Linked DNA regions of Canis lupus familiaris. The protein of the gene in region 6 purifies or fractionates together with the protein of the main gene of each other region. This does not show direct contact. Links are inferred from orthologs where the notes say so. Each region holds a gene or a part of one and is shown on either strand. Other genes may lie near its edges.

Evidence for each region.
Region 1: the proteins of DHX9 (region 6) and PRPF8 fractionate together in Homo sapiens (co-fractionation; 3 studies listed by BioGRID, with this or other methods). This does not show direct contact. The link is inferred for Canis lupus familiaris from reciprocal best matches to the Homo sapiens genes DHX9 and PRPF8.
Region 2: the proteins of DHX9 (region 6) and RALY purify together in Homo sapiens (affinity purification with mass spectrometry; 3 studies listed by BioGRID and IntAct, with this or other methods). This does not show direct contact. The link is inferred for Canis lupus familiaris from reciprocal best matches to the Homo sapiens genes DHX9 and RALY.
Region 3: the proteins of DHX9 (region 6) and HNRNPAB purify together in Homo sapiens (affinity purification with mass spectrometry; 3 studies listed by BioGRID and IntAct, with this or other methods). This does not show direct contact. The link is inferred for Canis lupus familiaris from reciprocal best matches to the Homo sapiens genes DHX9 and HNRNPAB.
Region 4: the proteins of DHX9 (region 6) and STAU1 purify together in Homo sapiens (affinity purification with mass spectrometry; 6 studies listed by BioGRID and IntAct, with this or other methods). This does not show direct contact. The link is inferred for Canis lupus familiaris from reciprocal best matches to the Homo sapiens genes DHX9 and STAU1.
Region 5: the proteins of DHX9 (region 6) and PABPN1 purify together in Homo sapiens (affinity purification with mass spectrometry; 4 studies listed by BioGRID and IntAct, with this or other methods). This does not show direct contact. The link is inferred for Canis lupus familiaris from reciprocal best matches to the Homo sapiens genes DHX9 and PABPN1.
Region 7: the proteins of DHX9 (region 6) and LARP7 purify together in Homo sapiens (affinity purification with mass spectrometry; 3 studies listed by BioGRID and IntAct, with this or other methods). This does not show direct contact. The link is inferred for Canis lupus familiaris from reciprocal best matches to the Homo sapiens genes DHX9 and LARP7.

Annotation. Positions count from the first base shown.
Region 1 is NC_049230.1:45,763,134-45,767,099, reverse strand, and holds part of PRPF8 (pre-mRNA-processing-splicing factor 8), read left to right. Parts: intron 1-288; coding exon 289-418; intron 419-1,158; coding exon 1,159-1,355; intron 1,356-1,482; coding exon 1,483-1,689; intron 1,690-1,808; coding exon 1,809-1,972; intron 1,973-2,124; coding exon 2,125-2,251; intron 2,252-2,370; coding exon 2,371-2,563; intron 2,564-2,826; coding exon 2,827-3,014; intron 3,015-3,170; coding exon 3,171-3,409; intron 3,410-3,635; coding exon 3,636-3,782; intron 3,783-3,966. UniProt on the Homo sapiens protein: Plays a role in pre-mRNA splicing as core component of precatalytic, catalytic and postcatalytic spliceosomal complexes, both of the predominant U2-type spliceosome and the minor U12-type spliceosome.
Region 2 is NC_049245.1:23,759,617-23,763,582, forward strand, and holds part of RALY (RNA-binding protein Raly), read left to right. Parts: intron 1-1,748; 5' UTR 1,749-1,757; coding exon 1,758-2,013; intron 2,014-3,120; coding exon 3,121-3,193; intron 3,194-3,382; coding exon 3,383-3,430; intron 3,431-3,966. UniProt on the Homo sapiens protein: RNA-binding protein that acts as a transcriptional cofactor for cholesterol biosynthetic genes in the liver. Binds the lipid-responsive non-coding RNA LeXis and is required for LeXis-mediated effect on cholesterogenesis.
Region 3 is NC_049232.1:3,625,235-3,629,641, forward strand, and holds the start of HNRNPAB (heterogeneous nuclear ribonucleoprotein A/B), read right to left. Parts: upstream 2,857-4,407; 5' UTR 2,663-2,856; intron 2,580-2,662; 5' UTR 2,557-2,579; coding exon 2,348-2,556; intron 1,624-2,347; coding exon 1,455-1,623; intron 787-1,454; coding exon 628-786; intron 448-627; coding exon 316-447; intron 315-315; exon of another isoform or gene 1-314. UniProt on the Homo sapiens protein: Binds single-stranded RNA. Has a high affinity for G-rich and U-rich regions of hnRNA. Also binds to APOB mRNA transcripts around the RNA editing site.
Region 4 is NC_049245.1:36,467,374-36,471,339, forward strand, and holds part of STAU1 (double-stranded RNA-binding protein Staufen homolog 1), read right to left. Parts: intron 1,147-3,966; coding exon 942-1,146; intron 1-941. UniProt on the Homo sapiens protein: Binds double-stranded RNA (regardless of the sequence) and tubulin.
Region 5 is NC_049229.1:3,702,392-3,707,146, reverse strand, and holds the start of PABPN1 (polyadenylate-binding protein 2), read right to left. Parts: upstream 3,118-4,755; 5' UTR 3,110-3,117; coding exon 2,759-3,109; intron 2,410-2,758; coding exon 2,295-2,409; intron 1,574-2,294; coding exon 1,506-1,573; intron 1,244-1,505; coding exon 1,137-1,243; intron 274-1,136; coding exon 186-273; intron 98-185; coding exon 1-97.
Region 6 is NC_049228.1:16,115,597-16,119,562, reverse strand, and holds part of DHX9 (ATP-dependent RNA helicase A), read right to left. Parts: intron 3,051-3,966; 5' UTR 3,029-3,050; coding exon 2,918-3,028; intron 2,315-2,917; coding exon 2,174-2,314; intron 1-2,173. UniProt on the Homo sapiens protein: Multifunctional ATP-dependent nucleic acid helicase that unwinds DNA and RNA in a 3' to 5' direction and that plays important roles in many processes, such as DNA replication, transcriptional activation, post-transcriptional RNA regulation, mRNA translation and RNA-mediated gene silencing.
Region 7 is NC_049253.1:7,465,492-7,470,254, reverse strand, and holds the start of LARP7 (la-related protein 7), read left to right. Parts: upstream 1-1,701; 5' UTR 1,702-1,879; intron 1,880-2,052; exon of another isoform or gene 2,053-2,261; intron 2,262-4,763. UniProt on the Homo sapiens protein: RNA-binding protein that specifically binds distinct small nuclear RNA (snRNAs) and regulates their processing and function.

The DNA.
Region 1 (3,966 bases), on a different chromosome or scaffold from region 6:
GGGGACCAATTTAGAGAAAGGTTCTGAGCGTTTCATTACTTGCCCTCACCTTATTAATTGTAACACTTTCCATTGAAGCCTGCCTTTAAATAGAGAATCCCAGTTACTGGTTTCTGTGTTAGAATTTCTCATTTATTCCATTTTTGATGTTGAGGTCCCAGAGTTTTGCCTCTTTGCCCCTCTGTTGCCTGAGATGTGTTCCTCTTGACCCCATCTGTGTGTGCAGTTTTTTCTTGCTCTCTAAATCAATTGCTAACCTAAGTTCTTTATTACTGCTTGGGACCACAGGGCCCTGTAGGAAAGGGCCCTGGCTGTGGCTTCTGGGCTGCTGGCTGGCGAGTCTGGCTGTTTTTCATGCGTGGCATCACCCCTTTGCTGGAGCGGTGGCTGGGCAACCTCCTGGCCCGACAGTTTGAAGGTGAGTGGTTTTCTCTGTGTCCAGTTTGTTTTATCACTTCACAGGTAGATCTTACGTTCCCATTCTATCCCTTCCTGCTGGATTGCCTGTAGGTCCCATTCTCTAGTGATTCTGACCTACTGTTGTGTTTCTTGGTTTCTCTTTGGGGCCTTGAAGCTATCTTGCATTTGAAGGATGGAAATTTCTCAGAAGCGTAGTTGTGAATGTCTGAAATAGTTTGTCATTTTTGCATGTGCTAGGCATATGGACACTTTTTTTTTAATTTTTAAGACTTCATTAATTTATTCATGAGAGACAGAGAGAGGCAGAGACACAGGCAGAGGGAGAAGCAGGCTCCGTGTAGGGAGCCTGATGTGGGACTCGATCCTGGGTCTCCAGGATCACACCCTGGGCTGAAGGCAGGTGCTAAACCGCTGAGCCACCCAGGGATCCCCTGGACACTATTTATGCTTGTTGATTTCAGTGTAACCATGATTAATAGGAAGCATGGTAGTAGAGGCTTACTGAAAGCCATGAATCTTGCTTTTAATCAGTTTCATTTTGGGCAGCCCCAGTGGCGCAGCGGCTTAGCGTCGCCTGCAGCCCGGGGTGTGATCCTGGAGACCCGGGATCGAGTCCCACGTCAGGCTCCCTGCGTGGAGCCTGCTTCTCTCTCTGCCTGTGTCTCTGCCTTTCTCTCTTTCTCTGTCTCTCTGAATAAATAAATTTTAAAAACTCTTATAAAAAAATTTCATTTCTAGGCCGACACTCCAAGGGGGTGGCAAAGACTGTAACAAAGCAGCGAGTGGAATCGCATTTTGACCTGGAGCTTCGGGCAGCTGTGATGCATGACATTCTGGACATGATGCCTGAGGGAATCAAACAGAACAAGGCCCGGACGATCCTGCAGCACCTCAGTGAAGCCTGGCGCTGCTGGAAGGCCAATATTCCCTGGAAGGTAGGTGTTGCCCCACTCCAAGAAGGCATGGACATCATCTCTCTGGGGTTAGGATTATCACTCCTGGACTCCCTTTGGGAGCTGTGTGACTGCTATCACATTCTCATTGTGCCTTTTGTACTTGCAGGTACCTGGGCTGCCAACACCCATAGAGAATATGATCCTTCGATATGTGAAGGCCAAGGCTGATTGGTGGACCAACACTGCCCACTATAACCGAGAACGAATCCGCCGTGGAGCCACTGTGGACAAGACTGTTTGCAAAAAGAACCTGGGGCGCCTCACTCGGCTCTATCTCAAGGCAGAACAGGAGCGACAGCACAACTACCTGAAGGTCGTGCAGCTTAGGCTGGGCTAGGCATGGGGAGTGGGCAGAGGGAAGATTGCAGAGTTGGACTATGTCTTATTCTGTAGGGATTAGGCTACAGTGGTTGATTATCATGTCTTTTGCAGGATGGGCCATACATCACAGCAGAGGAAGCGGTGGCAGTGTATACCACCACTGTGCATTGGTTGGAGAGCCGGAGGTTTTCACCCATCCCATTTCCCCCACTCTCCTACAAGCATGACACCAAATTGCTCATCTTGGCCTTGGAGCGGCTCAAGGAAGCTTACAGGTGAGGAGTACAGTAGGAGGATTCCCTTGGGAAGGTGAAAGTAGGAAGACAGCATCACAGTTAGTGTCCAAAGGAAGAAGGTTTAGCCTTAGGCCTTTCTGGGTTTGGCTTCCTCTTGGTTTTCCCATTCATCTTTCCTGTTTCTTTGTCAGTGTGAAGTCTCGGTTAAACCAGTCTCAGAGGGAAGAGCTAGGTCTGATCGAGCAAGCCTATGACAATCCCCATGAGGCACTGTCACGCATCAAGCGTCACCTCCTCACACAGAGAGCCTTTAAAGAAGTGAGTAAAATGCTCCCCCCTCCCCCTAGTTTTCTGTTGGCTGTGCTATTCACGTATGGCACCAGGTAGCAGGTTGCTTCAGGTATTGGTGGATCTGAGTAAGTTTCCCTGTCCCACAGGTGGGCATTGAGTTCATGGATCTTTATAGCCACCTGGTGCCAGTATATGATGTAGAGCCACTGGAGAAGATCACTGATGCCTACCTGGACCAGTACCTTTGGTATGAAGCTGACAAGCGCCGCCTTTTCCCACCCTGGATCAAGCCTGCCGACACAGAACCACCTCCTCTGCTTGTTTACAAGTGGTGCCAAGGTAAAGTTTTTCTTGCTTTGCCCTTTGGAACTGAGGTGAATTGGGTTGATTTAATTCTACATCGAAATTCTCATCCAGGTAGTATAATTAGCTTACTCTTGTTGCATAGTGCCAAGGAAATAATGTTGATGTTAAACTGAGCAAAGCTGACACTCCTAGCAGTCCTGATGAATGAGTGGAATATTAGTGGGATGAGGTTGTGGACTGCAGGTACTAGCCTTGGAAGGGAATTTCTAACCTGGAGATCTCTCTTGCCTACTCAGGCATCAATAATCTGCAAGATGTGTGGGAGACAAGTGAGGGCGAGTGCAATGTCATGCTGGAATCACGCTTTGAGAAGATGTATGAAAAGATTGACTTGACCCTGCTTAATAGGCTGCTGCGACTCATTGTAGACCACAACATAGCTGACTACATGACAGCCAAGAACAATGTCGTCATCAACTATAAGGTGTGTCTTGGAGGCAAGGTATCAAGGAATTGGAGGGGCTGTGTCTGGGTGAGGAAGGATTTGCCGAAAGGAAGACCAAACAGGATGGGCCCCAGAGAGGCCTGGGACATGGCTATGAGTTAAGAATTATTCAGAGTTCTCAATTTTTCATTCTAGGACATGAACCATACAAATTCCTACGGGATCATTAGAGGCCTGCAATTTGCCTCATTCATTGTGCAGTACTATGGTTTGGTGATGGATTTGCTGGTGTTGGGACTGCACCGGGCCAGTGAGATGGCTGGGCCCCCTCAGATGCCAAATGACTTTCTCAGTTTCCAGGACATAGCCACTGAGGCTGCCCACCCCATCCGTCTCTTCTGCAGATACATCGATCGCATCCATATTTTTTTCAGGTGAGGGCTTGCCTGGATTCTTATCCTGGCAGGGCGTTGAGGCATGTCCCCAGCCTCTGGACTCAGCTATCGTACGTTAGTTGACTTGTTGCTGGCTTGGGCTCTAAAACCGAAAGAAGGTCCTAGGAGTAGGGTGGGAGTTGGAGGTGGGCTTTATCTATGGAGTTGTAGGTCTTGTGAGTTCCCAGTTTATTTGGATCTCAGCAATGCATCTTGCTTGGTGTAGGTTCACAGCAGATGAGGCTCGGGACTTGATCCAGCGTTACCTGACAGAGCATCCTGACCCGAACAATGAAAATATCGTTGGCTATAATAACAAGAAGTGCTGGCCCCGAGATGCGCGCATGCGCCTCATGAAACATGATGTCAACTTGTGAGTCTTAAATGGGGGCTGTAGGAAGCTGTGGGAGCTGGAAGGTTACCAGCCTGAGGGACGCAGAGCATAGAGGGGATTTATGAAGTTGTGTCCTGGGCGGGAGGAGCATACTCTCCTAGGGTATTGTGAGTCTGGCAGTCTGAGGGAAGTTCCCTTCAAGTCCCGGGAGACTGAAGTGACC
Region 2 (3,966 bases), on a different chromosome or scaffold from region 6:
ATGGAGGGCTCAGGGGAACCCATATCCATTGAGCATTTTCTGTTGCTCATGGACAGTATTAAGTGCTTTCATGGGTGTGATATCTTTTGTGTTCCATACTGCTTGACAAATGATGATTGGATACAAAAGTAAACTGAGTTAACAAAGAGTTTGTCCCTTCTAGGCCCTTTCCAAAGCTTAGCACCAACTCTTTCATCAATAGCAATACCCTCTCAGCCCCCCCCCCCCCCACTTTTTTTAACCTAGGATGGTGCACACTTGCCCCCAGTATATCTGTGGAGCTACTGCAAGCCCACCATAGGAGTGGGTTTCTTCCTCTGCAATTACTCTCAGGCCCCAGCTTTTAGTTTCTTTGTGATCAGTGCCACCTGCTGGTCAGAAGATGCCCTTTTCCAGGTTGGAGGGATTGAAGAAGTCTCTTACCTGGCAGAACAAAAGATATGCCTTTCCCAGCTTATCCTCCACTCTGCTCTAATTCCCTGAAAAGAAGCTCCCTCCACCCAAAAATATTAGGTTAGTAGGCAGGTGTTTACTATTAACCTAGGCTGATGAGAGTTTTTATACATACTGCTTAGGGTCTTTAGCACCTTCTGTAATAGCTCTACGGCAGGGTATTGAAATAGTGTTACAAAAGGGAGTTGTACTAACCCATGCCAGTGAGCAGAAAGCTGGGCTGGAAGTATAAATACCAGTACTTAATGTTAGGCCTTTCCTGCTGTCACCAAGCCTCCCTTTCTGTTCCTTCTGGAGCCTGTCTTCTGATGCAACCTGTCTAGGGTCTGGGGTAGGAGAGATTTGTACAGCCCCTTGGGGTAAAAGACATTGCCAGAGTGTAGAGAGCAAAGAGTAGATACATTATGCTCTCTAAGCAAACAGTAAAATTTGAGTCAGTATAAAAATGAGTAATTCTAAATTATTAAAAACAATTCTTAGGTAAATATGCTGACTTAACTATTACATTGGCTTTAGCTCTGGGAAAGGAGAGTGATAAAGCTGGGGAAAAAAGGGGGTGTGTAAGGACCAACTGACCTGAGTTTGAGTGCTCATTCCTGGCAAGTTAAAGAACTTATTGGGGTCTGTTTCTGGTAAAATATGAACAATAGTAGTGTTTATAGGGTCTTGTGATTACTCAATATTGCATGCCATCCCTAGCCGGCAGAGAGTGCTCAATGAGGCTTGTTTAGCACACCTTTTTAAAAATAGCTGGTACCAGTAAAGAAAGCCAAAAGGCTAGGTTGATGTCTGGATCAGACCCAAAGAATTTTCATAATGTGGTCATTGTTATAGCCGATATTACTTGCAGTTTCCACGTGACTTCTTTGCCTTCTTCTACATGGAAGGAACAGAAGAAAAACAGTGGAAGGTCTTCAAATTTAGATCCTGCATGGGGTAACGTTTCAGATAAATATTAAAGAAGGAATGGGGTTAAAATAATTAGACTCAAGCCAACCAGAGTTCAAATTGTAACCCTGTTGCTCGTTAGCACTGTGGCCTCTGAATGTGCATTTTTTTTCCCTTGTGAAATGTCCTGGTTCTGCTTATCATATCAGTACCAAATGAGGGAACGTATATAAAGCACCTGGCCATGAGGTCAGCAGCCCAGCAAGATGTAAAATGGAGAGGCTGGATACTGTGGGGGTGAATGTGTAGCAGGGCACAAAGCAATCCAGTTTAGCCAGGATGTGGGCCATGGATAGCCTTTAAGCCCATCTGGGGGACCCAGCTTCACAGTGGCTCTCTCTCTTCAGGTGGCCACCATGTCCTTGAAGATCCAGACAAGCAATGTAACCAACAAGAATGACCCCAAGTCTATCAACTCTCGGGTCTTCATCGGAAACCTCAACACAGCTGTGGTGAAGAAGTCAGATGTGGAGACCATCTTCTCCAAGTATGGCCGTGTGGCCGGCTGTTCTGTGCACAAAGGCTATGCCTTTGTGCAGTATGCCAACGAGCGTCATGCCCGGGCAGCTGTGCTGGGAGAGAATGGGCGGGTGCTGGCCGGGCAGACTCTGGGTAAGTGTCTTTCCTTGGCCCTGCTTCTAGTGTTTTTCTGAGCAGGTTCCAGCCTTCACTTTCTAGCTCCTCCCTAGGCACTTTTCTGTTTCCCTTACTACTACCCACTACCTCTTTCTGAAATTGTATTTAAGTTATAAATGAAGTAGTTATAAAATCTGCCTGTATGGGAGTATTTTAGGAGCTTCTTAAAAATGCTTCTATCTTGTCTTTGCTTTCACAATGACTCTTAGTGACAAGCCTTATAGTTCCAGTTAAAATGCAGATTCCTAAGAGAAAAGGAAGGGTGGACTAGCATAGCCTATTACATTGGGCTACAGATGGCTTAGGTTAGAACTCTTTATGAGAGCCAGGAGGAGGGGCTGGGAGCACAAGGTAAAGCGGTGCCTTTGGCCTTGGTGCTGTGTATATACGATGTGGCCATGTGGCCGTCTACCTTGGAGGGTGTACAGTGCACCTACTTCTATGTATCTTGTGTTCAAGAAGAGATATCTGTATATGTGATATGTGGATATAGCTAAGCATGTGGAGAACATGTGGACACATCTTTAGTATGTATATTTATGCAAATGTGTGTCAGAATATACTAGTGCATATAAGCAGATATGCATATTTATATACACACGTCTGTCATATGCTGAGCATCATTCTAGGTATAAAGATTTGGTAGGACATTTGCTTGAATGTGCAGTGGCTCATTTGTGTATGGGCAGTTACGTATATGGACGTTGGAGTCAGCTATGTTATTTGATTACTTGGATGCATGAACATGTGTGTGAAGATATGTATTTGCAGTATTTATTTACATGAGTGTACTTGAGAATGCATATATATGTGTGATGCCCATGGCATGTGTGCGTGAGTGAGAGGTTTGTGAGCATGCATGCAGGTGTCTGAATGTAAATTTGTAAATAGGTGTATCTCTGTGATGTGCGGGTATGAATCTAATGTGTAAAGACCTCTGTTGGTTGTTTTAGTTAGGAAAGTCCACGTGTACCTCACATAAACACATAGAAATTGCTGCTCACGTGTGTGAGGGTGATACATGTTTGGATACCCTACTGTTCTGCCTGCATCTGACTGTGCCTCCTCCCTCCCTCTACGCAGATATCAACATGGCTGGAGAGCCCAAGCCTAACAGACCCAAGGGGCTAAAGAGAGCAGCATCTGCCATATACAGGTGGGGCGCTCTGTCTTGTCTCTCTCCATCTGGGTGGGATTGGTCCCTCTTTCCACAGAGGGAGTGAACACTGGTTGGTGACAGTGTGGCGAGCCTAGAGTCTGGGGAGGCATTTGGAGATGAGGACCTATGGAGAGCGGGCTGAGTGGCTGTCCCTAAGCCCTGGCCCTCTCCCCTTTGTTTCCCCAGTGGCTACAGCTTTGACTATGATTACTACCGGGACGACTTCTACGACAGGTGAGCAGGGGGAGGGGCGTGCCCAGGCATGAAACAGCCAAGCTGGAAGGGTCCTGAGAGATTGCTGGTGCAGCCCACTCGGTCCTCCCAAGTGTGAACCAGAGCCCAGAGGTGTGGACAGGCATCTGCCCAAGGCTGCTCCACAAATTGGTGGCAGAGCTGGAACTAGGGTCTAGTTCTTCAGGTCCCCAGGTCAGAGTTTCCCCCACTCCACACTGTCTCCCACTCTCTGCCCTTCCTCCTCCTAATCTGAGGGTGGGGCTCAACAGGACTAGGTAGCAAGAAACATTTAAAAATAGCAAGTTGAATTAGAGGTTACTAGGCACAGGGAGTTTGAGTCCTCCCACTCCTGCTGTTCAGTCTCCTTACCTTTTGGAGGTGCTCAGCCAGGTGGAAGGGACCTCGGAGCTCAGTGTGAGCCTCTTGGCCTTTCATTCATAGCTAAGAGGTCAGCGATCCTTTGGAGGTCTGAATTAGACCTTGGTAGTCTGTGGCCCCCTTCTTCATCAGATTGCAGCCTTGAGCTCTGAACTCCA
Region 3 (4,407 bases), on a different chromosome or scaffold from region 6:
CTTGGATTCTAGACTCAGAACAGCATGATCTCTAGCTTTCAGTCAGGAATCAAAGGGGCTACTCAACATGCTCCATCCCATACAAACCACCCTTTCTCCTGCCTCCCACACATCCTGGGTTTCTGCCAATGCCACCAGCCTAGGGACTCCCTGAAGGACAGGACCATCTGCCCCAATCAGGACAGCAGACACTGCAAAAAAAAAAATAACAGTAGGGTCAAACTGCCCTGGAGAGGGAGCCCAACTCCTAACCCACACCTGTGAGAGCCAGCTCTCCAGCAGCAGGAGGCCAAAATACAGAGTTGGATACCTCACCTTACTTCCACTGATGGTATGGAACTTTTTCTCCAGAACCTTCTTCACAGGTTCTTCTTCTTTAAAGGTGATGAAGACAAAACCTCGTCTTTTGTTCGACTTTGGATCCATTGGAAGCTCAATGGCCTCAATCTGTAAATATATGCAAAGCTCAGAACCAATAATGCCTCTTCCTACCTAGCCCCCAGGACCCGTAGGGATCTCCAAGGAGAAAAGACCCTAGGAAGGCCTTGCTGACGAGGGCAATGGCCAGCCAAGGGAGAAAGCAAGCTCAAGGCAACTGGCAAGTCACTCCCAAAGTCACACACTCACCTCCCCAAACTCGCCAAAGTATTCTCTGATCTTCTCCTCAGTGGCTTCAGGATTCAGACCCCCTACAAAAATTTTCTTTACCGGATCCTTTTTCATGGCCATGGCCTTTTTGGGGTCAATGACACGGCCATCCAGCCTGTGTTCCTTCTGGTCTAGAACCTGTCCCAACAGAAGAAAACCAAGTTTTAACTCAGCAGCACCACCCTCACCAAGGCCCTTCCTTGAGCCACACAGGCCCCAACACTGGTACACAAACTTGTTCATCCCCTCCAAACTACCCTCAATCTGACTTAGCAACCGAACTTCATCTAACTTCAAGTACAGCTCTTTTATCTGAATACCTACAGCCCACCCCGGCCCCCACCAGCTTTCCCAGGAGCAGCAGTTTAAAGCTGGTCTCTCAAAAGTAAAGAAACGGTGATGAAGAGTCCAGGCTGAGGGTGGGCTGCTCGGTTGGAAACCACCCCTTTCTGGTGTATAAACTCTTCTACTTACACTTCTGAGTATTTTCTGTAAAATGAGACTAAAATAATGCCTACTCCACAGCAACTCTAGACTCCTTATTCTAGTGCTCATAAAACAATGGCTTTATCAGTGCCAGTGTAGGCATCAAACACCAATTAAACTCTTCCTGCACGACCTGAGTCCATACCTACTACCCACCCCTTAATCTGTATTTTTAATCCCTTCAAAAACAGTTAAGTTCCTCACCTGTTTTTCCCCAAAGCTCAACCACCTACAGAACACACCAACTAATCATGCTCAGAATGGTATCAGTATTCTCTTAGAATGAACTTAAGACCACTGACATCAAATATCCTGCTTACCTTCTCCACACTGGCTGCATCTTTGAAGAGGATAAACCCAAACCCTCTTGACCGGCCAGTGTTTGGATCCATTTTTATGGTACAGTCAACGACCTCTCCAAATTTGGTAAAATAATCCTTTAGGTCCTTTTTGCTGGTATCCCAGCTCAGGCCTCCAACGAACATTTTTCTGAAATGGTAAAGACACGTGCCAGCCCTTCCTGGGTACAGGTTCTAAGCAAAGTCGCCATCTAGCACACAGATCTACCCTGAGTCCCCCAGGGTCCTACATTTGGAAGGCGTCAACAAATCCCACCCTCCCAAACAACCTTGACCCTAGAGCAGCTTCAGACTCGGTGGCCCCCGACGGGGCAAGGGGGCCAAGGGCACTCTGGCCCGGGCACCTATCGGCCCTTAACGCACGGAGGGAGCCATGTGCCGAACAAGCACGTCTCTCCAGCGGCCGTCGTCCCTGCCCCTCCAGGCCACCCCCGAGAACTCGCTCTTAAGGAACTCGAGGCTTCCGGGGGCCGGAGACCGCGTTCAGACCGTGACTCCGCCCCCGGGGAGGGGGGGAACGGGGAGGCCGCGAGGCCGCGGCCGGGGCGCGCGCCAACTCCGCCCACGCAGCCCCGCCGAACCCCAGGCCGGCCCGGCCCCGGGTCCGAGCGCACTGCCCTTTCCGGGCCGCCCGCCCGCCCCCGGCCCAGCGCGAGCGGCCCCGGGGCGGCGCCAAAGCCGACCCAACAAACTCCTGCAAACTCCGGCGCGAACGGCGAGCCCGCGAGCGGAGGGGCCGGGCGGCGGGCAGCCAGCAGGCCCCGGCCGCCCGCCCCTCCCCCCGCCGCGTGGCGCCAACAAAAGGCGGCCCCGGAACAAAGGCGGCGCCCCGGTCGGCCCGCGGCCGCACCTACCCCGCGTCCTCCTCGTTCTTGCTGGCATTGATCTGGTCGCCCTCGGCGCCGTTCTGGTTGCCGGCCGGGGGCGCCGCGCTCCCGCCTCCGGCGCCCGTCGCGGCCCCGGTGCCGGACCCCGCCGGCGACTCGCCTTCGGGGGCGGCCTCGTGTCCGTTCTCGGTGGCGCCCGTCGTCTCCATGGGCTGCTCCTCACCCGCTTCCGACATGCTAGGCCGAGGCGCGGCAGCTCCTGCAACGAGCGGCCCCGGCGCGTCAGGCCCGCGCGGCTCCCGCCCCGGCTCCCGCCCGCCGCCCGCGGGCCCGGCCGCTCACCTCGCCGCCGATGACGCCGCGGGGCCCGCTCGTCCCCACCCGCCGGGAAGGCGCCGCGGGCTCGGCCGCGCTCACGCCTGCGCTGCCGGGCCTAGCCTCCGCCGCCAACGGAGCCGCCGCGACCTCGCGCCCTCCGCCGCCGCCGCCGCCGCCGCCGCGCCGCACAGACGCACCGACCGACAAGCTCACTCGGGCCCGCGCGGTGCCGCCGCCTGACAATGCCGACTCGTGGCGCTCTTTATAATGCCGGGGCCGGGCCCACCTCGCAACAAGGCGCGTGCTCATTGGTTTCGCTCGCCCGTCACTCAAACGCGCGCTAGCGCCCCATTGGCCGCAGCGGCGCGCGTACGCGAAATCCGGGCGGGCTTTGTCCTCACTTTAGAACCCGCGCGAGCGGCGCCCGCGGAGGTCGGCCGGGCCGGGCGCGACCCCAGCCCTGCCGCGAGCCGCCGGGCCCGGGACCCCCGCGGCCGAGGGCGCCGGCGGCCGACCCCTCCGCGGCCTGAGGCCGCAGGCTCTCGTCGCGGGGCGCCCCAGCCCGGCACCGCTAGCTTCGCCCACCGCTTTCCCAAAAGAGGAAGCGGGGCTCTAAGAAGTCTGGCAAGCCCCGATCGTCCGGCTGCAAGCGGGGGAACGCGGGCGGCCGAGACGGGGCGCGCGGCGCCCCCCAAGGCCAGCGGCAGGGCTCCCCCTCGACCTTGGTGCCCTCGCGGCCCAGCGCTCCCGCTCTTTCTGCCGCCGCCCTCGGGCCAGAAGCGGAGAGGGGGTGGAGCCCGCTGGCGTCGGGGCCGCTGGGGCCGCTGGGGCCGCTGGTTCTCGGCGGATGTGGCGGGAGACGCTGTGGGGCCGGGGTGTTCCCCGATCCTGGGGCGTCCGGCATCACCTAGGCGATTAGCGTCGTTTTCACGCTGGAGGTTCACATTTCCCATTCGACTTCATTCACTTATTTCTGCTGAAATTTCTCTTTAAAAAGAAAAATAAACCATTTCCCTGAAATCATGAAGATGGTAGGTGGGGAGGAGTGGTTCTTTTTTCCTAATACACCAAACCCCTTAATCTGAGCTGCTTGACCACCACGCTTGAAAGGCCTGCGTTAATCCCTTGATTCCTTATAATCATATGGGTGCCGGGGCCCCAAATGGACCAGGATTACCAGAGAGCAACAGAACCTAAGTAGCTGGCATTTCCCGCTGAGTTCCTGCAGCCAGGCCTAGTGTGGGGGTCTGGGGGTTCTGTTTCTCACCTGGTCTTCTAACAACCCAATGGAAGGTGATACCATCACAAATTTATCAGTGAGAAAACTGAAGCCCGGAGTGTGGACCCAAGGCTCGCTCCCTAATAATCCAGCTAGCCAGTAGTTGCCAGGGAGAATGAAAAATGTAACAGTTCCACATTCAGAAAAAATAATCAACTCCAGAAAATCTGAAGATTTGGTCACAGAGTGCTACCTTCCTCCAGGGTATCCATCAACTAAACCAGGGGCACCGACCCACAGGTGAGTAAAGACCCTCCAGTTCACCACAAGGCCCTCCTGACAGTCACTCTCAGACCAGATTCCACAACTGGAACTGAGAGCTCCAAAAAACTGTGGTTGTCTCACTGAAATCTGATAGAAAGGCTTGCAGAATTTAACAGACTCCCCACCCCATCTCCACCCTAGCCCATGCCCACCCACAGAAATAAGGTCCAGGGAGGACTGGGTGCAACAGGGGATGATGGACACAGATGCCGAAGCGATGAAGATA
Region 4 (3,966 bases), on a different chromosome or scaffold from region 6:
TAAATGCACACAAAAATTCACTTTAAAATGCCTCTTTAGGAAAATAAAAAATGACTTGATTCTGTCCCATAACTGGTTAGACTAAATTTAGTGCATGAATCAAATTTATAAGAATATCTTTGGGTTTGCAAAATCAGAGGGTCATAGAAATAACCAGCCTCTTTCAAACAAAAGAAATTTTCTTTATGATTCAAACAACTGCACTTTAAGTATAACCTGAATCATCTTAAGAGCAGTTTTGACCCATAAAATTTACCTGCAGTGGAGAATGAATCCGAAACACCACAAAGAAATTAAAAGCAACAAGAAAGGTATGGCTGAGATCTCCCGGATTTCTTCCTGTGTACAAAGGGACTGGGATGGCTTCGTGTGCCCGGCGGGTAATGTGGCTAAAACAGCCACTCACAGGTAATGTGGCTACAACAGCCACTCCCACCCACCGTGGCAGGTCAGTGGTTTCCGAGCTTTTACCAGATGCTCTTCTCTGTTACTCTTCTCCCTGCTTGGGTCCCTTATTTGAAGAAATAGCTACTAATAGTATTTGAGTAATAAATACTTAAGTTATTTTCTCCTTCTGTTTAATGATCAGGAGGCATGTATGACAATGTGGGTTTCTGATCAACGTGTTAAAATTGATATTTCCACCCTGGGTTGAAGTGATTCCAGCTAAAGCCTACATTCTTGGCAATCTGTACAACCTTATCAAGGAACAAAAGGTATTTGTGCTAAGCTTTTCTGGAATCTTGGAAATTGTTTGGTGACACACACCCCCGCCTCAGGACCTTCTGTCCATCCTTGGGACCAGAGCCTGGGAACCAATGCTTTAGAGTATGGGGAAGGATTCTGAAAAGGTAAGCGTTTGCCACTGATAGTGTAGAAACTGTGCTTTCAAAATCAACACGTTAGTTAAGAAAGAATTCATATACATACTGAATGGGTACCTCTAAACACACTTTTGAAAGGAACCTGTCTTGGCCCACGCATAATACCTGGATTCCTTCCTTCGCTACGAAAAGGGCGGGCTATGGGTTTAGGAAATTTTGTTCCTTCCAAAGCTTTGGCAGCAGCTGTGTGCTGGGCTTTTTTAATACTAGTTCCTTCAGCTTCCCAGTGCTGATCTCCAAGTGTTAGCTGTACTGTAAACACCTACAATGAAAATTGTGAGCTCTCAATTCATGATACCTGATGTGGACTACAGTATGTCACTTGGACCTTGAACATTTTTTATGGCCATGGTTTAAAAGGCCTGGTCATTATCTTGGCAATTTATCCCTTCATCCCCATTTTTTGTTTTTATAAACACCAAAAGATATACATATCATTGACTAGCATTAAACGGCACTCTATGACAAAACTATGCTTTGAAAAATGGAGGTAAACAAAGAGATTAAGAAAACATTTTCCTAAATATTAAAATATTAAACATTGATTATTTGGAAGTCCTCCAAATAGAAATTGTCTTCCAATTACTTCTCATGGAAGAAATATAGCAAATTTGATTTAAAAACATAGTAGTATCTCATATAAATTAAGATGTTCTCATGCGTTTGTGGTCTCTTGTCTGAAAACACAATCCGAGAAGGACCAAAACTTGAATAAATTTGGGAATGTCAGCCAGGCTCTAAAACACTGCCTTCTACTTCCCTAAGACTATACTACTCAGACACTGCCTCCTCTTTGAGGAGAAAATCTGATCCACACCAAGCAGAGATCTAGAAACGTTTCTCAACTCAAGGAGGCATCCAAAACAGCTAATTTTATCCTCAGCAAAAGCTGATAATGGCAAGCTTCTTTATTCTGTTTTAAATATAAAGATAACCCAAATACACACTCCTTTCTTAAAATTAGGTTATGTTAATCCTATCAGAACTAAATTAATACTCCATCAAAACAACACGACCCATCATACCACAGTGATTCTCTAACTTTGGTGCTCATCTAGGAAGCTTAGTAAAATACAAATGCCCAGGGATTTTGACTAAGAAGCAGGAGGAGGAGACCAGAGCAAGTGTATCTTTAATAAGCTCCTCTAGTGATACTGACGCACTGAGAAGTTGGAGACTCACTACTTTGGAATTTAGTAAGTGGAGCTTTTATTTTTCTGCTTTTATCACTGGATATCACTGTTTCATTTACAAATAATTTACATAAGAAACGCTGATATGAATGCCATCTACATCATTTGAAAATGTCCAGATCATTGAAATTTGGTGCCTAAAGGGATGGGTGTGACTTGCCTTCACAGCTGATTTTTCTTGTAGGTCTTAACTTGAGGATTCCCTCAGTGCATAGCTTCCACTAACTGAGAAAAATTTAAAAATCCTCAGCCCACTGGAACCATTAGGGGATCCTCTGAATTAATGCTGCAGATCACAAGGTTACTAATTTAACACTGATAGCATGGACTCAAAACCCTGGCTGGCCTGAGCAGGAAAACAGCAGGAGCCTACAGTGCTATCCAATTCTCCAGGGCATTTCATGATCCTTTCATAGAAGGACACTGAAGGGGAAAAAAGCTAAGGAAACAAAGAGTTAATTTCATCAACAATCTTGCCTTTCTCCAGCACCTTCCCCACTCCTGTTGTTGCCACTCTGCTGCCTCCTGTGTGGAGGGTCAGTAGTGGGGGTTAAAATCTAGGTTTCAAGAGAATTAAAATGACACCATACCACTGATTTTTTAAAGAGTCCAATAGTCACCTAGGAGGGAATATCTTTTCCTCTTTGAATAACTTGAAGGTTAAAAAAAAAAAAGGGCAGTTACAGATTGAACACACAGCCAAATTATCTACAGTATCACTAAAGTTTAAGTGAGAAAGTACGTATTTCAAAAAATACCGAAAACAGTTAATAAAGGGAATCCCAAAGTTAAGGTCTGCAAAAAAAATCCTGTAGAAGAAACAGAACAGTTATAGAAAATCACGAATTGCCTTCCAAAAGTAAAGAAACATTTCAAATATGATCATGCTTTAGAATAATGTTAAAACTCGCTTCATGTGAGTACAAATTTGTTTCTTTTTTTTTTTTCTTCAAATTTCTGTTTCTTAAATGCGTAATAGCTACCATTTCTGAAGGACTTATTAACTGCCAGGCATTGTGCTCCACACTTTAATACATAGTCTCTCGTTTAATTCTCACAGTAGACCTACTTGGGTAGGTATTATCCCCATTTTACAGATGAGGAGACTAAGGTTCAAAAAAGTAGTAGTTTACCCAAGGTCACATAGCTAGAAGAAACTGAGATTTAAACCCAGATCTGTCTGACACCAAAGGCGACTCACCTAACTACACTATGGTGCCTATTTAGGATTGCCGCTGATGTTACTTTTAGTCAAATGAAAAGAAACTTGTTATCATTCAAGGTTTGAGGTTTGCATGTCAAGAAAAATGAGGCATAAAGAGACCAATAACTCATCCTTAATTATATTCTCTTTACTGCAAAGCTAGGATCGGAAATAGAGGCCCAATTCCTTTTCTCTGATACCATACCCTCTCTCACACTGCAGCTGCAAAGATAAAGCCAGATATGCACACATTTAAGTTCCAAGATTTACATTAGTACAGATATCAAGCAAGCTTCAAAGACTGAATTCCTGAATAACAAATAGTAAACATTTAAATTACAGTCAGTCTTCCATTCTCTAAGATATGGGGAAAGACAAGGATAAGTGAAATCAGAGACAATCCAAAGGACTCACTTTGAGACTAATTTCTACCTCTCATCTTCAAACCTTTTACCTGGATTGCTAACAAGTGGCAAAATGGATTTCCTGTTCCCCTCTCCCTGCCCAGTCTAAGGTACACATGCAAGGAAGCAGGAAAGGAGCCAGAGCAGGCTGTAGCCAGGAGGCCCAGAGCCTGGAAAACTCACAGGAAATCATTCACAGGTGCTTGGGAATTGTCTCTATTCAGAATCCTAAAGACAATCACACACTAACTGGAGTTTTAAAAGCCACATATCCCAAAAAG
Region 5 (4,755 bases), on a different chromosome or scaffold from region 6:
AGCTGTTGTAGTTGGTAGTCCGGGCACGGTATCGGGCTCGTGGGAAACCCCGGTCTGTTGTGCTGATGCCTGGTCTGTTGGTTCGTTTTGGGATCACCTGAAAGTGAGGGATATACAACAGAAAGTCTTAAAATAAGCCTGGAGAGTTTGCACAGAACCAGAACAGCAATGAGTACAGGGCTTACCTTGATTTGTCTTCCTCTAAATAGTGACTCATCTAAGGCCAAGGAAGTCCTCACTGACTCTTTGTCTGAGAACTCTATATACGCAAAACTGAAAAAAATAATTGTCATTTCATTCATCTGAAGTTACAGCAGCTTACACATCAAATCCAACTTGCAGGTATGCCTGAATAACAACAGGGCCACATATTTATTTATTGGTCAATTTTTTTTTAAAAAGATTTTTATTTATTTATTCATTCATGAGAGACACGGCGGGGGCGGGGGGTGGAGGCAAAGACACAGGCAGAGGGAGAAGGCGGCTCCATGCTGGTAGCCTGAGGTGGAACTTGATCCCAGGTCTCCAGGATCAGGCCCTGGGCTGAAGGCAGCACTAAACCGCTGAGCCACCGGGCTGCCCTGGTCAAATTTTTTTTAAATGGAATACTTCAATCTAAATTTCCACCTACTCTTAAGAAAATTATAAAATAGTATACAAACAGCCTGGATTGCTAAGCAAATGCTGTCCCTCCTTTTTCTTTTTTTTTTTATAATATTTTTTTTATTTATTTATGACAGTCACACAGAGAGAGAGAGAGAGAGAGAGAGAGAGAGAGAGAGGCAGAGACACAGGCAGAGGGAGAAGCAGACTCCATGCACCGGGAGCCTGACGTGGGATTCGATCCCGGGTCTCCAGGATCGCACCCTGGGCCAAAGGCAGGTGCCAAACCGCTGCGCCACCCAGGGATCCCTGTCCCTCCTTTTTCTAGTTCACAATCCCACTCATGCTAACCTTCATCTTTATGTTTGGTCTCTGAAGGCATTTACGTGACCCGATATGTATATGTGACACTAACGCCCTAACCATAAAACAAACACTGCTTATTTTAACAAGTTAACGCTGCTCAATACAAAACATTATTTATCTATTTCTAAGATGTGATTAAAACAACCTCATTTTACTTCTCTACTTACCCTTTAGGATGGCCACTAAATTTGTCACAGAGTATGGTAACACGGTTGACTGAACCACAGCCATGAAAGTGTGCTTCCAACTCTTCTGCTGTTGCACCATAGTCCACCTGTGAGGGTAGAGAAGGTTATATTTCACAGGTACCCTGCCTATCCTCTCCAAAATCACATCAACTCTCGTTCTCTAAGAAGTTAATCTTCTCTTCCCAACCCCAGAGCCTCTGCTGATCTTCATTTCCTTTTACCTCCTCCAAACCCTCTCAATACTCCCCCAACCTACTACCTATCCTTGAAATATTCCTTAAGACTCCTATTAACCAACTCCCCAAACAAGAGCCTTCCCACAACCCCAATCAGGGCCCCAATACATACATTGCCAACATAAATGGAACGGGCATCAGCCTCCATCTTCTCTTCAATGGACATGATCACTGGGCCAGCTTTGAAGAAAAAAGAAAGGGAGGGGGGGGTGGCAAGAAACTGGTTTTCTATTTGACCAATATATGCATCACTACCACCACCACCACTACAGGGAAGGCAAAGATTTTGGTCTGTTGTGTTCCCTGCTGTACCCCTTACCAAGAATACTGTCTAGCACACAATAGATGCTTGGCTGAACATCTGACTAATCAAGCAACAGATTAACATATCCTTAAAAAAAAAATCAGAGAAAACAGTACAGGAATTTCTCTCCTGCTCCCAAATCAAGACCCTATTGAACAGCTTTGACTCAAATCATTTTTAAAGTGAACAAAATCAAGGGAACCCAAACTCAACAGTTCTAGGTTAAAGAGAAAGCCCTCTGCAGTCGAGTAGCTTCTTTTAGGACTCCTAACTAAAGGGTCTCCAACTAAAGGAAGAACTATGAGACTTGAAGGTCAAATGCCAGTTGGCAACGTCCACAAAGAGTAGAGGTAGACTAAAGAACAAAGAACACATTTGTAAAAAGGACAAAGAAAGGCACAAAATTACCATCATCAAAATAGAGATTCTTGCCTCACTAAGGTCAGAAAAAACACACAATGGACTATGACCCCAGCACCTGCCCAGTAATTGCTCATACAAGCAGCTCCAAGGTCCCGAGCATCTAATCCCACACAACCCGTGCTCGCAGAACCCTTCCGAGGACCCGGGCTCCGCGTGCAACCGCCGGTTACTCACCATTGCCTGGAGGTGGACTCATATTCATCTGTTTCTCTACCTCGTTCTGTAGCTCCTTTAACTTCTCAGCTTCTTCCTCCATCTCCCTGACTCGAGCTTTGATCGCTTCCAGCTCCTGTAATGAGTGGAAAGGGTATGGAGAAGAGCTTAAGAGGAACCAACGCAGGGGCTGCGCCCTGCTCTCCGTCCAAGCGCGGCCCCAGCCATGCTCGGCCATTTCCCTCGCCCCACGCGCGGGTCGCGATGAAAAGAAAAGCAAGCTACCTTCTCTGGAACAACACTAGGCACCCATAACGCCCGAATCAACCCGGCTGGGCCCCTTCTGGACGTCGAGGATCCGCGCCCGGCCCTGCCCCAGCCACGTTATTCCCCGCCCACCCCACCCCCCGCCTGCCTCCCGCTCGCCCGAGCTCTGGGCCTCCCGTGACACGGCCAGGCCTGCTCGCTCGCCCTCCTTCCCTCACCGGGTCCTCAATGGCGCCGTCCCCCGGGTCACCCTCGACCAGTCCCGGCTCCTCCTCCTCCTCCTGGCTGCCGGGGGCTCCCGAGCCAGGCCCAGGGCCCGGAGCTCCCGGGGGGGCGCGGGGCCGGGGCGGCTCCTCTTCGGGCTCGGGCTCCGGCTCGGGCTCCAGCAGCAGCTCCTCAGGCTCCAGTTCCTCAGACTCCAGGCCGTTCCCGTAGTCCCCTGCGCCCCCCGGGGCCCCCTCCCCGGCCTCCCCACCGGCCCCGGGCACAAGATGGCGCCGCCGCCCCGGCCCGGAGCCCCGACCGCCCGCAGCCCCCGCTGCTGCTGCCGCCGCCGCCGCCGCCGCCATCGCCGCTCAGACTGGGGCCCGCCGCCCGGCGATTGGAGAACAGCGCCGGGCACGCCGAGGATTCATTAGTCTAGCAACCTGCCCGTCACCACGAGCTAGGACTCCATTGGGGGATATTACTTGGCAATCAAATAAGACCCCACCCCTAAGGCGGGCTATTGCGCCAAATTCTCAAATCCCGGTAGGGGAGCTGGCCTGTCAATCAACATACGCCCCACCTCCTCTCAACCCCTTAGGTAACAATACCGCCACGCTGTGACGACATTCCTGCCTCCCCCCACCCCCACCTCCAGGCGGATCCGCGAGTATATGACGCTCGGTGATTGGCCGCTGGCTAGGGCGAGGAGACAAGGCCAATCTTCCGATCGCCTCGCAGCAATAGCCCTCTCGGATGCCGATTGGCTCGTGAGATTCGAAGGGCTAACATCCGTTTCGTGACAGGTGAACCTTGCCCCGCAACGGACGGCAAGGCTTCCAGCCATGGAAAGCCGAGGTCACATGACTAGTCCTTGGCGGGGGGCCGCCATCTTGACGCTACTGGTCGCCGGCTGGAGAGATGTTAGAAAGCAGTGGCTGGAAACGTTGAGGCGGTTTCTGTAAACTGGTTTGCTAACCAGGAAGCTACCAGTGGATGGAATGTTGCTGGAAATGGAGGTTCTGAATGGAGCTCTCCAGTAAGATGCTTGCTTTCCCCATCCAGGTACCAAAAGGTACCAACACCCATCAGGTCTCCCAAACCAGAAAGCAGGAAGGAATCTTCAGTCCAGAGCTACCAGTCCTGTCTGATCTGTCTTCCTTGTGCAGGCATACTTTCCAAGCCCGCTGCTCATGCCTCAGTTTCAGTTTGTTTCTTGGGCTGTTTGCTAAGCCCCCTAATAGATCTCTCAGCTTCCAGTGTCACTCTTAACAGTCCTCACCGCTACCACAGTGAGCTGGCTCCCCTTTGCTGGCCAGGTAAAAGTAAAACTGTACCGTGGCCTTAGAGACCTCAGGACCAGCCTACGTCACAAATGTTATTTCTACACTCCTCATTCCAGGGGGTATACCTGCACCCAGCTCTGTGCCTCTGTACATGAAGTCCCTCTTCAACCAGACCACTGCAAACCTAAGCATCACCGCTCGTGCAAAACCTTATGCTAGCCTCCTCTCCTTTCCCATGACTAGCAGGCCTACTACCTCCACTGTGCACGTAATCATTTTGTCCTGCATCCTGAGAATTTGGAGAGGAGAGGCTGGATCCTATTTATATTTGCAGCTCCACTGTAGGGCAATATGCTTGGCACATATTGTCAATAAATGTTTGCGTTGACCGGGAATCTGGGTGCCACCCTCATCTTCAACTCTTTCGCAGCCCCCAAACCTTCCTTCAGACCACAGAGGAATTCCTCCAGGCAGGTTCCCACCACAAGTTTCCACTCTGAGATAACCAATGAGACATCACCCTGGAAAGCAGGGTTGCCATATGTAGTAGTGATACTACACATTTATTTAAAAAGAAGAAACAAAGGTGCAAAGTTTGCAAGAGGGTTATTTGTAGCCGGACGCAGCTAGGGTTTGACAGCCAGATTCAAATGAGCCCAATCAAATTAATCAGACAACCCCAACAGGATGTGTGTGTCTGGGGTGAGGAGATTTGGACAAGAGGA
Region 6 (3,966 bases):
CAGAAAACTGAAGTGAGATTTGAGCTATTACCCAAAGATAGTGTTTGTAGTAGGAGTCCAAATTGCTTAACAGTACAACAAGATCAATAATCTTTTGAGAAATATAACATTATTTAGGGTCTTTACAACATAATTATCGTAACACCCAAATACAATCCAAAATTACTTGACATACAGAGAAAAAGGTGAACAAATCTCAAGAGAAAATACAATCCACAGAACTCAACCTGAGATGACCCAGATGTCAGATTTAGTAGTCAAGAATTTTAAAGCAGCTACTGTAACTATGCACAATGACATAAAGAGAACTCACATTCATATTATGAACACATGCTTATAATGAATGAAATGGTAAGAAATGCCACCAGAGAAATAAAATCTCTCTTTTTTTAAAATTTTATTTATTTATTCATAAGCAACACAGAGAGAGAGAGGCAGAGACACAGGCAGAGGGAGAAGCAGGCTCCATGCAGGGAGCCCGACGTGGGACCTGATCCTGGGTCTCCAGGATCACGCCCCGGGCTGCAGGCAGCGCCAAACCACTGCGCCACCGGGGCTGCCCTAAAATCTCTTAAAAAAAAAAAAGAAAAAAACACCTGATAATTCTGGAAATGAGAAAGATAATATATGAAATAAATTCACTGGATGGACTGACAACAGCAAAATGGACAGAACATTCTGCAAACTTCAAGATATCAGAAGTCATTCAATCTGAAGAACAGAAAGAAAGAAAAAGAGAAAAAGCCCTAGGGACCTTTAGGATAATATACAAAAGTTTAATATGAGTCCCAAAAAGAGAAGAGAAAAAAATGAAGTGAAAAATTTTTTGAAAAAATAGCCAAAGATTCCCCAAGTTTGGTAAAAGACATAAATTTACAGATTCAAGAATCTCAGCAAATTCCAAATGGAGTAAGCACAAAGAAAACCACACCTAGTCACCTCATAGTCAAACTGCTGGAAACCAAAGAAAAAAATAAATGCAACCAAGGGAAAAAATACATTACACAGAGGGGGAAATGATTTGATTATAATGGACTTCTCATCAGATAACAATGGAAGAAAATAAGTGCTGAAAGAAAGGAAACTGGCACAAGAGAATTCTATGTCCAGTGAAAATATGCAAGACAAAAAATAAAATAAAAAATATTTTCACATAAAAGAAAATTAAGAATTTGTCACCTGCAGACCTACACTTTGAGAGGAAGAGGCCAAAAGATACAGAATAGGTCATAACAGATGGAGTAAATCCCAATGTTCCAAATATTTGGAAGATATTTGCAACATTCTTTTCATAGCTGGAAAGAATCTCTAAGATCATCTTGTCCAATCTCTTCATTTTGCAGATAGGCCAACCATTTGCAATTATCTAGTGGTACAATATACTACAGAGTGAGTCTCTTAACTTCTGGGTCAAAGCAATGGAAGGAAATAAAACATACACATTAAGCTTTATAAATAAGTCAGAATACAGTGAAAATAAATTGTTAAAATATAGATTTTTTTTCCTAAAGTTTTGATAAAAACTGAATCTTTTAAGTTACCTTAGGTATTTACTTAAATCATAATGTGAATCTTCTTATATTGTTATGAATTCCTCTATTTTTGTGAAAACTCAATTTTCATTTTTAATTAAATGCAAAATAAAGTGTATCAAAAACACTAGAAGGGAGTCTTTGTTGCATATTTACACAATATAAATGAAGTAATCATTTTGTATCAAAACACAAGAATGATATGCCATTGCACAAAATAGAAATTTTCCTCTGCTGTAACAAGGAACTGTCAATGGGGGTATACGCTGCGTCCTAAGGTATTTCTGATTTTTATAGTGTGTGTGTATATAATGTTCTCTATATTTTATTTTTATGTTCTGTATATCTTTTCAAGTATACAGAACTGAAAATTAGCTCATGAATGAATGAAATATATAAAACCATAAGACACACAGATAAAGGAATTTCCCAACCCCACAAGTCAGGTACATAATGAGAATAATATCCCAATCCTCAGGAACTCATCCCAAGGCTCTGAGAAAACAAGATTCTAAGGTTCACCAAAGAATACATTAATATATTTAAAAACATCACTGAAAAATCATCACCCTGTGTCTTTATACATAGGGTTGGCATGACCTTGTGACATATATTTTAAGTGCTGGACCATAAGCACTTACCCCAATAGCTGGGACTTCCTCACTCTTTACTTCATTTATCCGAACCAAATAGTTAACAAAATCTCTGGCAGCATTGCTCTGTGCATCTTTTTTATTGGTGGAATTGCCCATGCCAATGTAATTATAACCTTCCACTCGAACCTTTAACAGTCAGGAAAAAAATGTATTAGAAGAGACTAACTCAGGTTAATTCTGGGATTTAAAAAATATGTAATTCAATAGTTCATTAAGAGGTAATAGTCAAACTTTGAAGATATACTCTATAAAAACATTGAAAATAACACATCCAAAAGAATTTACAAGCTAACTTATAAGAAAGCTTGAATTGTTTACCACTGATAAATATAAAAACAACAATATTAATTTATATGGTTCAGATATTCTCTTCTGTAACAGAATGTTCCACATTAAAATCTGATTTCATAAGACTCAAGAACAAGCTCGTCATCTGTATTTAAACAACTTAACTTGAGGCAATCAAGAATCTACTTTCTACAGGAATTAGTAAAACTGCAAACAGCAGTACTGGGGAAGCTGAGGAAGATACATGTTCTAACCAGAATTCACCTTTCAGATTTGTTTTAAAAGTAACGCTCACTTGAAAATGATTTATAATGAAACAGAATAGCAGGCAAGCGACAACAAAGAACAAACAACACATTACTCTTTCCAAACAGAAAATACTGTTCTAACACCAAAATAAGTGTCAAAAATCACATAAATGTAAATTGTATTCTGTAGTACCTCACACATGAATTTCTGCCTGTTTTTGTTCCCCACTGCTCTAATTTCATAGGATGGGGTCATCTTCCTTTTGCCACACCAGGCATACAGAAAATTTTTAACATCACCCATGATTCAAGTGTCTTCTTCAGACCTAAGAAAACAAAAGTTACATCACATTATTTATAACAGCAAACACTGCAAAGGACCAGTATCTCTGGTTAACTGAAAATCTAGATTAAACACAGGATATTCTACCAGGCTATTAAAATTGCCTATGACAAAATTTTAATGACATAGTTGGAAAGCCTACAACATGTTATATGAAAGACAGGATATAAAACTACACAATTTGCACTATATAAAAGGATATATGCATAAATCAAGACCGAAAAAGAAATGTCCTTCAAAATGGTTACCTTTGAGTGACTACAAGTGATTCTAAATCGCCCTTTTTATTCTGAGAGAGGAAGAGAGATAATTTTAAGCAGGTTCCAAGCCAGCACGGAACCTGTAAAAGGTCTCTATTTCACCACCCAAGTACCCTTGACCTTTCCTTAAAAACATTTTATGAGGTCTCTGGATAGCTCAGTCAGATGAGCAGGTGATTCTGGATTTCAGCTGGGGTCATGATCTCAGGGTCCTGGGGCTGGGCTCTGCATCAGGCTCTGTTTGGGCAATGGACAGAGTCGACTTGAGGATGCTCTCTGCCCCTCCCCCACTCGTGCATGGGCATGTGCTCTCTCGAATGAATCTTTAAAAAAAATTTTAGGTAATGTCCTCCTTTTTACAATAGGCACCTTATGTGTTTTAACTCATTTAACCCTCAAACAATGGGAGATAATTATATGGTAAATACTATACTATTATCACCTCTATACAAAGGAAGAAACAAGGCAATAGAAAGTTTAACTTCCAAATCACCCACTGTGGAGGCATAAATTAAAACTACAAGATTAAGAAACGGTCATCTATCATGTTGTGTGTAAATCAGAGTGTTTATTCTCATTCTGAGGTGTCTCCTAGCAGACTGTCCTCAAAGTTGTAGGTTATGTATCACACTACTAAGT
Region 7 (4,763 bases), on a different chromosome or scaffold from region 6:
AATCAATGTATAAGGTCCTGTGAAAGACACACCAAGGCATGACCAAGGAATTCAGTTCAATTAAGGGGTCAAGTTAAGACAATGAATAGTGAGTGAGAGAGAAGATTGAAAAAAATGAGCAATAGGAGTCAGAGGGCCTTCTATGCTATGCCAAGTTGTTTGAATTTTCTATAAAGGGAGTGCAAATGGTAGGGTTTTAAGAATAAGATTACATAATCTAACTTGGGTTTTACAAAGATCGCTCTGGTTGCTGATAGGAGGCATAAGGGAGGGTAGCCCTGGTGGCGCAGCGGTTTAGCGCTGCCTGCAGCCTGGGGTGTGATCCTGGAGACCTGGGGTCGAGTCCCACGTTGGGCTCCCTGCAAGGGGCTTGCTTCTCCCTCTGCCTGCATCTCTGCCTCTCTCTCTGTGTGCTCTCATGAATAAATAAATAAAATCTTTAAAAAATAAAATACTAAAATCTTTAGAAGAGGCCTAAGTCCTACGTTCAAAGGAGTAAAAAAAAAAAAAAACAAAGGAGTTAAAATACCGTTTACCGTTAAATAGTTGAAATGGTATCAGCTAACAACATGGCATTTAAGTGAAAAGTAAAAACAAAAAAGAAAAAAAGAAAAAATCTGGGGACGCCTGAGTGGTTCAGCCCTTGAGTAGACCTCGGCCTCCCGCTCAGGGCGTGATCCCGGATCCAGTCCCGCGTCGGGCTCCCTGCATGGAGCCTGCTTCTCCCTCTGCCCGTGTCTCTCTCTGCCTCTCTCTCTCTCTCTCTCTCTGTGTGTGTCTCTCATGAATAAATAAATAAAATCTTTAAGAAAAATTTTTTTTCTAAAAATCATCTACGTCAAATGTTGACCCACCTCCAACGGGTAAAAGTTCAACGTGCAAAGTTTTAAAAGCGGTAGGGATACCTCAGATGTCTGCAATAATTATATAACCACAGATGTGCACATTACCTCCCCAAAGACATTACCCATACGTCCCTATGCTGCTTTATACATTCATATATAAAATTCTGTGTTCTCCATAAAATATGAACCAGTCTTATTTATGTTTAAGTACGAGGAGATGTTTTTGGTCTTTTTATTTTGGAACAAGCAAGATCTTTAGAATCCCTAAATAGTTCAGATTTAAAAGTTCCAGAGTCTCAAACCCAGTATCCTGTTAAGAAGTCGCTCAGTCCAAATGACCCAGAGAAGCCCACATTTCATTGCCAAGATAATAATTACCATGATTCTGTGTAACCGAATGGCAGTGAGACTTGACCCTCTGTCAGGCCTAGATAAACACAAAGAGCAAAACTCTCTCTGGTCCTTACACTTATTGCCGGAAGTGCAACGCAGAGGCTGGAAAGGCTGTCACTCCCCACACCTGGTTCCAAACAGCACCAGCAACGGCTCGCTTCCGGCGCAATAGAGCCTCTCAACACTTTGCCCTAAATTGCGACGCCGCCTCTCGTTCACATCCCCTTTCCTATCCACCTTCACTCCCAGAGAAGCAGAGGACTTCACCGGTCCGTAAAACACACGTTCGAATTTCTCCCGCGGAAGGCTGTGACGTCATCAACCCGGGACCGCACGGGATCAGGACCCACTACTCAGCCCGCCCACAAGTACCGACGTTTGCAAACCGCCAATCAAAACTTCTCGTGGTCTGTGAGCCTCCTCGGCCAGCCGGGTAACCCGACGCCCCGCCCCTTGCGCCAGCTCACGCCCGTGACGCAAGCGCCGGGCGCGCCGTCTCCGTCCTCGCGCTCGCCTTTTCGGAGGCGTACGGGAGAACCGTGTCGCCCACCCTATGACGCGGAAACCAGCTCTATAAGGATCTGGAGACGGAAAGGTTGGAGGACGAAATCACCGGCCCAGTATTTTGGGAACTGGACAGAGTAAGTTGGAAGTAAACTGTAGATCGTGTCGCTCAGGTTGAGTGAGGCTTCAAGTCTTCTAAGTCCTTTGTCACGCGCTCCATTCTATCATCTGTCGGCCCTTTCACTTCGTCCCCTCCCACAAGCCCATCGGTTTGCTCGTCCTGTTCCTCTGCGCACGCGCAAAGGTCCTTCAGCGGCCCTTGTAGTTCCAGTTTTCGGAGATTGGGGGCGCATATCGTCCGGCTTTAGGAGATCGGGGGCCCGCCCGGTATTGGGCAGCGTACTTGGGAAAGGACTGGTGTCGACGGGGGGCCGTAGCCAGAGGTGAAATCGCCGGGCCTCGTAGATGTGAGCGTTGGCGGCCAAACGATAGCGAGTGTGAGCACTTAAGTTTTTAAAGTTAAGTCACTTTCTTATTTTCGGGATTCTAGTTTTTGTCATCAGAGAATCGAAAAATCCAGTTACGGAAGGGAGCTAACAAATTATAAATGTCAGTGGAGTGTACTGAATGCGTTAATAAATGTGCTTGAGGGAAAATAGATGAGGAGGCAATAAATTAGGGGAGACGTGGTGGTGGAAAGCTGGAGAGAGTAAGATGCCATTTAACGTGGGCCTTGAAAATTGAATAGGAGTTTATAAGGCAAGTAAAGACAAGACTAATTGAAAGAACAGGCACGGTGTTCTGGTACCGTTGAATGGTCAGCCATGGTAGAACAATGACTTAACGTTTTTGACACCGTTTCCTCTAAAAATGGTAAAGGCTATGGATGAGCATCCTAGGAAGATGCATGCACGTCAAGACATTTTACGTATGATTTTGCTGGGAAATTGTGGAACACCTTGAAATGGCCAAGAAAAAAGATACTGGATGTCTTCTCTAGCTGGCTCTTCCAGGTTCTCTCTTTCATTATCATTGAGCTATTTTACATTTGTGTTAGTTGTAGGAAACGATTATAATGGAACTTAAGTCTTGTAGTTAATCAATTTTGTAGTTATGGCCCTAACCAGTTTTGCATCTATTAACAAATTCATTTCAGTGTTCCTGATTGCTTAGATCTTTTAATTCTCCTTTGAACTAGTTTTTTAATAGAATATTTTAAAATTTATTATTTATTTACTCTATTTTAAGTAGACCCCATGCCCAATATGGGCCTTGAACTCTCAACCCCGGGATTGAGTCGCGTGTTCTACTGACTGAGCCAGCCAAGTGTCCCCTCCAGAACTAGTTCTTTTGTTTTGTTTTTTTTTTTAAGATTTTATTTATTCATGAGAGACACGGTGAGAGAGGAAGAGACAGAGGGAGCAGGCTCCTTGCCGGGAGCCGAATGCGGGACTCCACCCCCAGACCCTGGATCACACCCTGAGCCAAAGGCAGAAGGCAGATGCTGAACCGTTGAGCCACCTAGGTGTCCCCTGAACTAGTTTTTTAACACTTAACTAATTCCTTGATTAATTTCACTAAAATAAAATATTTGATACGTATTCATTTTATGTTAATTTATATTTAAATTCCTTTGTTTAAAATTTCTCTTTTGGGGCACCTGGGTGGCTCAGCGGTTGAGCGTTTGCCTTTGGCTCAGGTGGTAACACCGGGTTCCTCAGAATGAGTCCCGGGTCGGTCTCCCCACAGGGAGTCTGCTTCTTCCTCTGCCTCTCTCTGTGTTTCTCATGAATAAATACATAAAATCTAAAATAATAATAATAATAAAATTTATCTTTCATCAATTTCACAGAATTCATAGGAATGTTTGAAACTCACCCAAAATTCCATAGACTTTAGGTTAAGAATATCTGGGTCAGAATACAGAATGTATCATGACAGGCTGTAAGAGGTTCTACTAAAAGGTGGGCAGTGTAAGGGAGTCAGACTTACCAGAGCTTGTTCACTTAACTGAGCATGTTTACCCAGCTGATTTTGGCCAATTCACTTAATTTTTAAGCCTCTGTAAAAAAGAATTTGAAAGGAACCACCTAATTGTGATTGTGAGGATTTAAAACAATATTTAAAGTAACTGGAATTGTTACACAGTACCTTTATTGTTTGTGTAAAAGCCCCTGTTTAGAAGCCAATTTGATGTCACTGATTCATCAACAATTTTTTAAACTTACATATTCTAAGAAGGTACTAAGGAATTTTTAATGTTGAAAAGTTTTAACATTAAAATTAAAAATTAGATCTGTGTTTTAGACAAGTTACACAGCTTATGAGGAGGATGAATGACTTCTAGAACGGTTTATAAATTGTTCCCATATTGTAGTGATACTCTTTGTGGAAAATATTGGAGGGAAATAAAAACCATTCCAGAAGTTAAATCGGTAGGACTTGGTGACAGATTGGTAAATGATAAAATAACGATAATGTTACATTTTGTCAAGTACGTGAGAAGGTAGACTCAGAGGATCAAGACTCACGAAAGTACTGCTATGTGACTTCTTGATTTTCATAGCCATTGCATTGGGAAGTGAAATTATACCATATCTTGTTACTTCTTGTATCTTTCTCTTATGTATGAAAATATATTTGATTATCTACAGGATATGTTTCTTAAGATCACAAATTACAGACAAATGTTAGGCACACTAGGCAAGAGTTTTAGAACTTAGTTTTTCAAGTCACGAAAGTAAACCTTAGAGGTCTCTGAGATGAGAGTGATGGAGAAAATCTGGTTTCGGGAAAAATTTGGACTTTCTGCATTTCTACAGTTCTGTCCACTATTTCCTTAGATAGTGGTTCTGACAAAAGGAATTGGAGAGCTGATAGTCTGTCCTTTACAATTTGGAGTTTTTGCAAAAGAGAAGGTTAGCATTGAATCCTCCTGTATTGATCATTTATAGCTTCTGTTTGTATTTTATTTATAATCCTACCCTTTTTTTTTAAGCCTGCCCCCTTTCAAAAGAACTT